2 linked regions of the Drosophila melanogaster genome follow. The protein of the gene in region 1 interacts with the protein of each later gene in a pairwise test. Each region holds a gene or a part of one and is shown on either strand. Other genes may lie near its edges.

What was found.
Region 2: the proteins of Nnk (region 1) and CG11247 interact in a two-hybrid assay, tested with the Drosophila melanogaster proteins (one large-scale study listed by BioGRID).

What each region holds. Positions count from the first base shown.
Region 1 is NT_033777.3:17,802,677-17,807,068, forward strand, and holds Nnk (nicknack), read right to left. Parts: upstream 2,574-4,392; 5' UTR 2,493-2,573; coding exon 2,379-2,492; intron 2,321-2,378; coding exon 1,365-2,320; intron 1,303-1,364; coding exon 1,180-1,302; intron 981-1,179; coding exon 854-980; 3' UTR 549-853; downstream 1-548. Other genes in the region: CG17806 (uncharacterized protein), read right to left, coding at 1-329, 380-490; CG17801 (uncharacterized protein), read right to left, coding at 3,061-3,172, 3,233-3,346, 3,417-4,213, 4,271-4,392.
Region 2 is NT_037436.4:21,723,822-21,730,718, forward strand, and holds CG11247 (uncharacterized protein), read right to left. Parts: upstream 4,986-6,897; 5' UTR 4,630-4,985; exon of another isoform or gene 4,572-4,629; 5' UTR 4,466-4,571; intron 3,117-4,465; 5' UTR 2,918-3,116; coding exon 2,342-2,917; intron 2,130-2,341; coding exon 1,734-2,129; intron 1,675-1,733; coding exon 1,078-1,674; 3' UTR 505-1,077; downstream 1-504. Other genes in the region: Polr2H (RNA polymerase II, I and III subunit H), read left to right, coding at 5,372-5,821; CG14570 (uncharacterized protein), read right to left, coding at 5,921-6,607.

The DNA of each region.
Region 1 (4,392 bases):
TCGGCAGGCGGTATTTCCGGGACAACTAAAGGGTAAATTGGGGTTTCTACTGTCTTAAGAGGCACTCCATCCACTTTCTTGCTGCGTTGTGGTAGAATCCTTCTCCTTTGCGGCTGTGCAATACTAATGGGCATAACATCCACCCTACTTTCTAACCTGTTATTCCCGCCTTCCCTTGCAGTCTCAGTGTCCGAATCCTCTTGTTTGCCCTGCTTTTCGAACCAAGACGAATTGGTCCTGATGCAGCGCTCCCGGAATGCGATGGCATCGTTCAGATCCAGCAAGCAGGATAAGCAGATCCTCGTTGGCACACCTGGCTGGTTCCTCAACTGGAATCGAAGAGGGAATGACTCCGTGGTTACCGGGAATAGTCACCTACCCAAAAGCCCGTCAGCTTGAGGATGTTGCTCAGGACATCTCTGGCCTCCTTATCGAAAAGTGACTTGGCGTGCTCCGCCTCCTGGCCACAGGTGCGGCACAGCGTGGTCATCCTTTTTGCAGTTTCAACTCAATTGTTTAGTTTCCGCCAAGTAAACAAAGTTGGACTTCTGTTTACAGAATAATCTAGTTTATCATTGTTTTGTGTGAATGGCACATTTTAAAGTGAACTACAAGGAATTAGTTCTTCCGATTTGAACTGTGGATTTGTTGTAATAAACGTTAAATATTTAAGAGGATGAAAGATCCACTTTCAAAACTGATCGATACACCCAAATCACAGTCAGATATCTTATGATATTTCATCTTATTAACTTCTTAGAAATACTTTTATACTAAATTATTATAATTTTAACAGATAAGAACATTAGACCTCTAAACGGATGACAACACTTAACAACAAAACATTTGTACCTTATTTATTTTTGGAATCAATTTCGGACTTAGCACTCATTGCGATCAGCTTATTTTGATGCTGCCTGGAGCGGTAGTGGGTCTTCAAGTTCGAGTTCCGTGTAAAGGACACTTTGCAGACCTCACAGCTAAGGGGAAAGTAGATAAAAACAAAGTTAAACATTTGAAAAAGTAACTTTTCAAGCAGGAAATAGTTAACTTGATTGCTGGATGTAGTGGATATTAGGAAGTAAAGAGTTACAAAGTGGGAATAATAAGATGATTGATACTTAAAGGAATATGTTAGGAGAAAGAAAAATCTAGCCATATATCTTCACAAGATCTTACTGGAAGTTACGCTCGCCGGTGTGGACCACCTCGTGCTTGGCCCTCTGGTAGTTCGACTCGTATCGCTTGTCGCAATAGTTGCACTTGAAGTTCTTTGGTGTTTTCTTGTTCCGGTGTACCCGGCTGAAAGAATGGCAGTGTTCGTAGGTGCAATTTAGGGGATTTAAGGTATGCTATAGACTCACTTTTCGTGGCGCGATCGCATAGTACTGTGCACAAAACGCTCGTCGCAGAACTGGCAAGCGTATGGCTTCTCTCCGCGGTGCTTCACCCGAATGTGAATGTTCAGGATGTACCTGTTGAACTCCTTTTGTCCGCACTCAGGACACTCGAAGGGCTTGACGCCCGAGTGGCGCAGCACGTGCAGATTAAAGTTGCCCTTGTCGGTGAATTTCTTGCCGCAATGGTCACAGATGTGGACCTTTTGGCTTATGTATGTTTTTCGTTTTTTCTTCGCAGGTTTGAGAAAGTCGGTGTCGTCGTTTTTGGGAGATGATCTCTTGGTGTATTTTCGACGAGGCTTCTTATCTTCGTCAAGGGCCGATTGACGCGATGTGGCTTCTATATCTGACATAGAATCAGCATCTGTATCGCTGTCGCCGTCCTCGTTCTGCCAAAGCTCGTCGTCGTCTTCCTGTGACTCCTCTTCGTCCTCCTCATTTTGCTGACTTTCCTCCTCATCTGGCTGTGACTCCTCACATTCCTGTGACTCCTCGCCATCATCATGTCCTGTCTTTTTATCCACCATATCCTCATACTCCTGCTGTTGCTCTTGCTCATCATCCTCCTTACTGAAGGGTATTTCGCAGGCAATATCTTCAAATTCCTTGTTCTCATTAACCTCGCTTTCTTCCTCCTCCTTCTTGTACAGGTCGTGGTCTTCCTCCAGTCCTTCATTATCCGCATAGGACACCTCGTACAACACCTCCTGCTCCACTTCCGCATCGTTGATCTTCAGCCCCTCGTGCGCATCGCTCAGCGGATCAGCCCAGCATCCGTCATCCTTGGCTTCCACACTTCGGCGCTGGATTGTCAGTCGATTGTTGGTCTTGATGCAGGCTTGCCGGAAGGCAATGGCGCTCTTCAGGCTCAGCAGGCAGCAGGAGCACATATTCCGGGGCATCTTCGAGTGGTCGGTGAGCTTGAAAACCAAACGAGCATTAGCGGTTTAAATTTGCCAATTTAATTTACACACTCACCCAAAGGCCCGTGACCAATGCGATTTGCCTGACCATTTTGCTGTTCTCATCGAATATGTTAACTGGATTTTGCGTGTATATTAAATCTCCACACAACCGGCATTGTGGCGTCATTTTTAAGAGTTATTTTTCGAGCCAAAATTCCTTGCTTTATTAACAGCTGCTGCTTCATTTTGGGCCATTCGCAGCGAACTGTTGTTGTTGTCCGCGTCTCTGGGTGACTGCCAAGCGGTGGCGCCAAAATTTGAAAATGGCGCCTTTTATTCAAGGGTCGTTATGGAATATACTCCAAGCATTTGCTTTTCGTGGCAAATAGGAATTACCAAATATATTTACCACTTCAAAAAAAGAATTAAAAATATATATTATACATAAGTTTTCTGTTTTTAAATGAAAACGATTAATTAAATAGTAAGGTATTTAACATTTCGAAATGAATGGCTGTCCAAATATTACACTCTTAAAGAAACTACTTCATAATAGGAAAAGCAAATGACAAAAATGTAATACAAAAAAGTTATAGCAAACGAAGGGCAATCCAGTGCCAAAACAGTGAGAATACGTTCAAACATTTATGTCTAATAGATATCCTGAGCCTCAGAATTATCCAAGTCGTGCTTTCATCTACATATCCCGCATCTTATAAGACGGAATTAAAAACGATCTCTAATTCTTTGGCGAATCAATGCTCTTCGGATTCCAGGATGGCGCTGGCTCTTTTCTGGTGAGCAACCGAATCGAAGTGACTCCTTAGCGTTGCCTTTCGGGCAAAGTTGATTTGGCAAATAACGCAGCTGAGAGGGAAATACACGACTTGTATTAAATATGCGCAAATTTCATATCATTTCACTTACTCAAAGGGCTTAAGACCTGAGTGCAGGAACTTGTGCTTATTCAAGCAGGTCTTGGTATTGAATCTCTTGGTGCACTGGTCGCATTGGTACCTCAGATCTCTGATGTGCCGTATTCTGTCATAGTGTTAGGAAATTGTTTATGTCAGCGCTTTTAAAGTTAAATACAATTGCAGTAAGGACTTACCGCTCATGGCTCGACTTAGCTGTACTTGTGAAAAACGTTGCCGAGCAGAAGTTGCACTCAAACGGCTGTTCGCCCATGTGGCGCACTCGTTCGTGTAGACGAGCCAGATACTTGGTGACGAACCGCTTGTCGCAGAACGTGCATGGAAAGTTCTTCTCACCCGTGTGGCGCACCATATGCGTCTTTAGGTTGTATGGAGTCTTAAAGACCCTTCCGCACTTAGGGCACACCAGGGATTGCATTTTCCGAGCTGTCCTTTTTGCAGGGGGTACATTCTCAGCTGCCACATCTTCTGGAGCTAATGCAAGGGGCTTTACTACCTTAATAGAGGGATACGTTGTAAGTAGTCTCAGATCGGTTCCAATTTGTATAAAGTTTCCCTTTTTTGGGCTTTTTGCATCGACTTTGTTAGGCAAGTTTTCATTTGCAAATGAAGGAGTCTCAATTAATGGATTTTTATGCTTAAATATTAAGGGGGTTTCCGAATCATAAGGATTATGTGGTTCGTTTCTCCTATCCTCATGGGCGAGATTTAAATCAATATCGGATTCCTCTGCTTTTTTGTCAAATGGATAGTTTTCTGAATCATATGATTCCTCCGATTCCAAGTCACTGGAATCCCCTTCTGGCTCTATATCGGATACAGTGCTTTCTAGATCCTCATCAAGCCCAGATTCCCGCCTCAGCGTTGCTTCATTGTGAACTCGTTGAATGCGCTTCTTTAACTTAATCGATGTGTTCAAGTCATTTAAACAAGATGGGCAAATATGACGCGGCTGGCGTTCATTCTGTTCTAACTGTAAATGGAGTAAATGGGTTATGCCATTCACGCACACAAGAAACCATCAACATACCCATATTCCAGTGAGATCCTTGATCTTGGCCAGAACTTCCAGGCAAAAAATTATCGTGGGATTCAGGTGACAGAAACACGAGGCGCACAAATGGCATTGCGAAGGCTTTTTCATTTCAAACA
Region 2 (6,897 bases), on another chromosome or scaffold:
TATGGAATGCAGCTTCCAGCCGGACTTGAAATTCCATAGATGAGCCTCAAAGGTCAAAGGCACGCAAGCCAGGAGATGCAGAAAATTGATTGATTCAAGCCGTGTCGCTTCCTAAGATGCTAGTCGAGATCCTCAACTTCCAGACACCAGCTACAGCAAGATCGAAAGTTGACTGAAATAATATGTAAGGCCTTTGCCATTTGTTGTAGACGGCCAAAATCCTTTTGGAATAAACATAGAAACTTTCAATAATAATAATAAAAACCAAAATTATTAAATTAATATTAATATATTCAAAAGTGTGGGAGCAGCTTTGTGGGATAGTGGACGTGCTCACTCTTAGTTAAGGGAATGTGTTCTTTTTATCATTCGTTCTCATAAACTTTCTCTAACTCTTACGTAAGCTCGCAGACTTACGAAATCTTAAAAATAAGCGAAAATAATACTTGCTGCAAATTGTTTCATGATTAAAAAGTCCGAAAAACTAATATCCAGTGTTGGGTTGTAGTCACAAATAATATTTATTATTCATTTCATTTTTTCACTTGCGTATTTTGATTTGCATTTCAGTTGTACACTTCAGATTTTGCACTTTTGTTGGAAAAGACAAATGGCAACTAAATGCATTAAGCTTATTAATTTTACAAGCATGGCCACAATGAGTTGTATTGTACTTGAGCTGTTATAGATTCACTCCGGGACAATCTGTTGCTCTGGCAAGACTAAGCATACAAAAATATTTCAGGTTTCAATCGTGTTATGCCTATTATTTTATAAATTATTGCATCGAAATTCGTTCTTAAACTAATTTCCTTTAATAGGGAAATTATTATGACAACACTAACTCATACATTCTTCAAATTATACTTTTTGGTAGCAGCAAAATTGGGATTAAGGGTAGTAATTCATTAAAATGACCTGTACTACAAAGTATATATCTTTGGGATAAATTATTTGGTTGGGTTTCGTTCTGCAACTTTGGGTTACTAAACACTAAACTAAATGGCAAGAACTAGTTCTACAAATCCTTCTTCTATGGCACACTCGCATTTGGCGTTGGCTATCAACTCCTGGATTCTACTTCTGTTTCATATACATGGTAGCAATTTTCTCAAGAATCGTGTCTATAGACAACAATTCGTCGCTGAATTTCTGCATAGTGGGGGCTGGCACAATCCACTTAAGAAATTCCTCCACATTTAGCCGGAGTCTGGCCAATGGGGTCATCGTGGCGTCGTCATGGGATTGTCGCTGAGCCAGCTTCAAGGATGCAATGATAACGTTATCGATTAGACGCTTCTCGTAGCCCAACTGGCGCAGCTTTTGAGCGGAGCTAATTTTCTTCAGTACCACTGCCATGTTAAATCTTAAGACAGAGAGAATTTGCGCATCTTCAGACTGATTGCCACTGGGTTTGTCCCCGTCAACTGGACACTTGGCGCAGTGCTCAACATGCGACTGCAGCTCCACCTTGATCTTAAAGAAATCGTGGCAGCCTTCGCACATGTAGGGCTTTTGCTGTTTGTGTATCTTCTTCATGTGGTTCTTTAGGTGCGCCAGCTGAGAAAAGGCTACTTCGTCTTCGCACAGCTGGCAGCGAAAGGGTTTTTCCCCCGTATGCTTTCGGATGTGCAGTTTTAGTACGCTTGAATGGGCAAAGGTCTGGTGGCAGATCTGATGGAAGTAGAAACATAATTTACGGCTGCATGCAAGCTAACACCCTTTCAACTTACCCTACACTGATAGGGGCGCTCTCCCGTGTGCATTCGCATATGGACATTGTACTGGCTTTTCTGGGTGAAATATGTGTTGCACACCTCGCAGACGTGGGTCTTAACAGCGGTGTGCCTCTGCATGTGAGTGGCCAAATCCTCGTCCGGCTCGATCATCTTATGGCATATCTCGCACTCAAATTGCGTCAGCTTGTGGTGCTCCTGGTTTATGTGCGCTCGCAGGGCCAGCTCGTTGGCGAATTGGTTCTCACAGATGCTGCACCGGTGCTCCATGCCCTGCTCGTGTCGCTCCATGTGCACCCGTAAATTGGCGTTGGTTGAGAAGCTGGCCGAGCACTTAGTGCAGTTGAACTGCTGGATACTCGTCTTGTGGTGAGAAACCATGTGCTGTTGCAGCTGCAATATAAATGATAATATATATTAGGAACACCAATGGTTAAGACCTATAAAAACAAAAGCCTAATAGAAAGTTCATTATTAAATACACTTATTTATATTTAATTATTATAATAAATATTATTATTTAAGTTTATAATAAATCAAATTATGAGAAAAATATAAAATTAATTGTTAAATCTCAGTTAAAAATGGAATGTCGTATTACTCACTTGACCTCCTCGGGCGAATTTTTTGTCGCAGAGGTCGCAAGGATAGGGCTTCTCGCCAGAGTGGAGGCGCATGTGGAGCCGCAGGCGCTCCTTGAGGGCGAATGATTTTGGGCACTGGGAACAAACGAACTGTTTCCGATGCTCGTGGGCGGTGGTGATATGATTTTTCAGGTTGACCGCCTGGCGGTAGCTCTTGCCACAATCCTTGCACTTGTGCGGTCGTTCGTCCGAGTGGATAAGCATGTGGCGCTGCAGATCCGTCTTGCCACCGAACTCTTTGGAGCATTGACTGCAGACATGGTGCTTGCGTTTCACCGGTTCGCCCTTTCGGGCAGACTTCTTAAGCTGCGGTTGCACGTAATCATCATCCTTTGAGTCCTGCTCTCCGCCGTCGTCCTCCTCCTCGTCCACACAAGCATCGCGCAGACTTGCCAAGCTGCTCTTCCTCCTTTTGATCGCAAGCGTAGGGCCTGGTGAGGATTCCCTCGCCGCCGGCGGCGAAGACAGCGATATGCCGCTGTCTGTGAGCAGAGAGACGGCATCCTCCTTGGACACACTACGACGGCTGCGTACCATTTGTTTGGTTTTTATTATTTGGATTCGTAACTAAATTTCTGGGGACCGCTTCCTGGGAAACACCGGCACCTGCTGCGTTTGTCTTTACTTCTAGGGTTAATGTTCTACGTATGTAATTTAGGGTATTCGTATTTTTTGGTTCGATTGCTACTTCTAGGATAGTTCCCATTCACCTTTGGTTTGGATTAGTTCAGATGGGCTGCAAAAAAAGTTAAGAGCTGTTTTAATTCTCCACTCGCCGAGCGCCACGTTCCGAAGCAGACGGAGAATCAAAAACACAGACAGAAATAGTAACCGCAAGTGAAGCCGAAACAGAAACAAGAAGAGAAACAGCAACGGAACAGAAACTCCAGCTGTGTCAACAGTGATAAGACCTATGCACAGGAAAAATATTACCAAAATTGGTGGATTTGCATATTTAGGGGCTTCGAAAAGCATGGCACTTTTTACGTTAATGCAATAGTTCTTACTATTTTTGCAGTGTTGTCGAAATCACTTGAGATTTTTAGACGTTGTTTATCATAATTAATTAATTAATTGCAATTCATTGGCTATCCAATTAGAAAATATATTCGTTTCTTTACAAATCTAGTTAACAACGGAAGGTTGTGGACTGTTTTTCACGGTGTACAGAGCTAGGAGCCCAAGTCTTGAAGTGGGTCGCATTATCAATTGACATTTCCAGCGAACGTAAGCTTCCAAAAAAAATTCTTAGTTTGTTGTCTTAATCTTTTGTTTGGGCGGGAGCGAGATGGAGAAACCGCCTGATAAGATCCCGAGGAAGGCAACAACTGATAAGCAATCCACCGCTTTCACTAAAATCACGGTAGAGCTATAAAAAGATATCGAGATAAAGCTGTGCAACCTGAGCGTTTTCGATCCCGCGGCGTCTGTTCTCCGAGGCGGCGGAGTTTCCAATGAAAAGCGAGAACACTGAAAATGCAACTGCAAGAGAGCGATTACGATGACCCTGGGCTGGGACGAACATCTGGCAAGCAGATTGGGAACCCTCCGATTCCGATTCCAGTGCCAAGCAACCCCCTCCCCCTGCGGAGGGTTAATGGTTCATTAGAGCCGCACCCGCAGAAGCTGAAAACTAACTCACTTTAGCAGCACAACGGCCCTCGACCAAACTGTTGAAAAAGCGAATTTAAGCTAGAATCCGCAGCTGGGAATCGAAATTGAAAGAGAACAGGGCAAAAAGCACGAACGACAGCGAAAATCACACACAAAAAGCGAAAATAAAGAAGTGAATACATAACAGCAGTTTTGTAATGCTAAATAGGCGGGGTTATGGGGGTGGGTAAGGGTTAAGGCGGCGGCGGTCGCTGGATGAGGGTAGGGGCCGTTGAAGTCTTTCGTATTCGGGGCACAAAACTCGACGACTGTGTAGTTTTCGGGGTCTTGCAACCGATTGTTAGTAATTAATGAACCAGCACCACAGCACTCATATACGTAAAGCAATCCATTATACACATATGCTACACATTTGGCCCAGGGGCTCCACATTCAACACCAACACCAAAGCCCCACCGGGCGTGGACTTACCTTCGCAAAAAGCAGGAGTCGCTAGGCTAAGGGCCTTCGATCCACAGGAAACTTAGCATCACCCCGAATGGGACACACCTGGACTTCCTATGCATTCCGCGTCCGACTATGAGTTCGCTTCTTATTTGTTTTTAATTTCGACACCACGAGCTGTGTGTACATACTTTTTGCAATCCGCTAGGTGGCAGTCCGACTGGCTCCTCAAGGTGTATCCATCGTGCTGCCTGCGGCTTAACCTTTGTGGGACTTTGCGGGTTTGCCGATTCTAAGCCAATACTGCGTTTTGTCCAGCAAAATAAATAACAGTTTTCGGTGGTTTTTCGATGTTGTTCTTAATGTTAGTGATGTGTATTCACCGATAGACGGTCACACTGGGACTCTCTGTCTGCGCGGCCACAGATGGGAGCGTGATGCACAGTCACTAGTTAGAGAAAATCCAATAACGTGTAGGTTGCGGCGCAATAAGTTATAAATAAGTTAAAAATCACATTGCGCAGTATCACTGCAATATTTATTGAAATTTCAGTAAGAACAAAGTGAGGCACACTTTGTTGAACGTGACTTCTTTTACACACTGAAATCACAGCCTGCTGAACGTGACCACTTTGCTCACTGAAATCGCAGACGTGTGGCAACACTCAAGCCGCCAGAAAGATCTGGCATCTCTCATACTTAACACGCGCATGCAAAATATTTAAGAAATAAATATTAGTCGCTAACAGTTTAAATATAATAAAATTCTGCTGATATAAACCCAGTTCATAAAAGAACACGCATTTACCTCCGCATATAAGATCAAATACGTATAAAATCTAATTAGCCGACTCAAGGTAAGGCGTGCGTTTTTGGAGCTCCACTAAACTGACTTCAAAGCAATAACTCATCAAATACTACATTTCAGTTAAAATGGCTGGAGTACTCTTTGAGGACATCTTCAACGTAAAGGACATGGATCCGGAGGGCAAAAAGTTCGACCGTGTATCCCGCCTGCACTGCGAGTCCGAGTCGTTTAAGATGGACCTCATCCTGGACATCAACTCGTGGCTATACCCCATGGAGCTGGGCGACAAGTTCCGCCTGGTTTTGGCCACCACCCTGCGCGAGGATGGTTGCCCGGACAGCGGGGAGTACAATCCAATGGAGCACGAGGGAACGCGGGCGGACAGCTTTGAGTACGTGATGTACGGCAAGATCTACAGGATCGAGGGCGACGAAGCACACAATGAGGCCTCCCGGCTCTCCGCCTACGTGTCATTCGGCGGCTTGCTGATGCGACTTCAGGGTGACGCCAACAATCTTCATGGCTTCGAGGTGGACCAGCACATGTACCTGCTGATGAAGCGGCTGGCCTTCTGAATTTTCTACCTAATTATTTTCGATCGCAAATTAGACATAGACAACAAACTTTATTTACAGTGTATTCATGACATTGCTTGGAGTGCTGAAAGAAGTAGTCTATTGCCTGGATGGGCGTCTGAAAGGCGCATTGACTATCAGGCGAGATGGCCGTGGGCGAAAAGGAATGTGGCGATCCACGAAGGGCAAAGCCTGCGGAGTCGATGGGAACACTGGAGTAGGCCTAATAGCATTCACAATCTTGACCGCATCTGGCCGACGACGAACCGTAAGCTTAGCCGGCCGTCGCTGCGGAGTCCGCAGAACCGGACGCTGCGGGCGGAAGGCAGAAAGTCGGTTCAGAAGCGGCAGAACATACTGAGCCTGGGGTGGTAGCGGCAGACTTGCCAAATTAATTATAGCTGCGCTTTGTGGCAATGTGTTGGAGCTGTCATCATTGGCTGGCTGGTCTGGAGGTCCGTAGGTCTGATCGGGAGGTCCATAAATTTGGTCCGGTGGGCCGTAGACCTCAGCTGGCGCTTCCACCAAAGACGGTGGTCCGTATGTTTCAGGTGGAGGGCCATATGTATCCTCCGGTTGAGGAAATTCAACCGCCTCCTCCGTTGGCAGGTCGAATGGCGGATCGGGGACCAGGCCTGCTGGTGGATATGGGGCTTGTTCCTGTCTTTGCAGAAACCTTCCCGCCGCGGGTCCTGGGAACCTCAGATGACTGCCTTCAATTCCATTCAGGCAAAGAATGGAACAAAGCGCAAAGGTGACCAGAGAAGCACTTGGATAACCGGACATTGTGGTGTGCTGACATGAACTGCTGCATGGGCGGCTAAGTGGCGCCTATAAATACCCCCTAGGAATGCCCTTGGGAACTGCCCAATTCAAACGCCCGAAGAAACCTCGAGGCCGATGACTTATAAGCCAGGTCCAACGATACGTGCCCATGGAGGTGGTGACTAAGGCGCGTGTAAGTACTGGCTGTTATGAAAATGTGTGGTTAGATTTCTTTAAAAGGGAGTGCTTATACAAAATAATTGTATATTATTTTTACACAGGAATAAAAAAAATAATAAATATAACGCTTT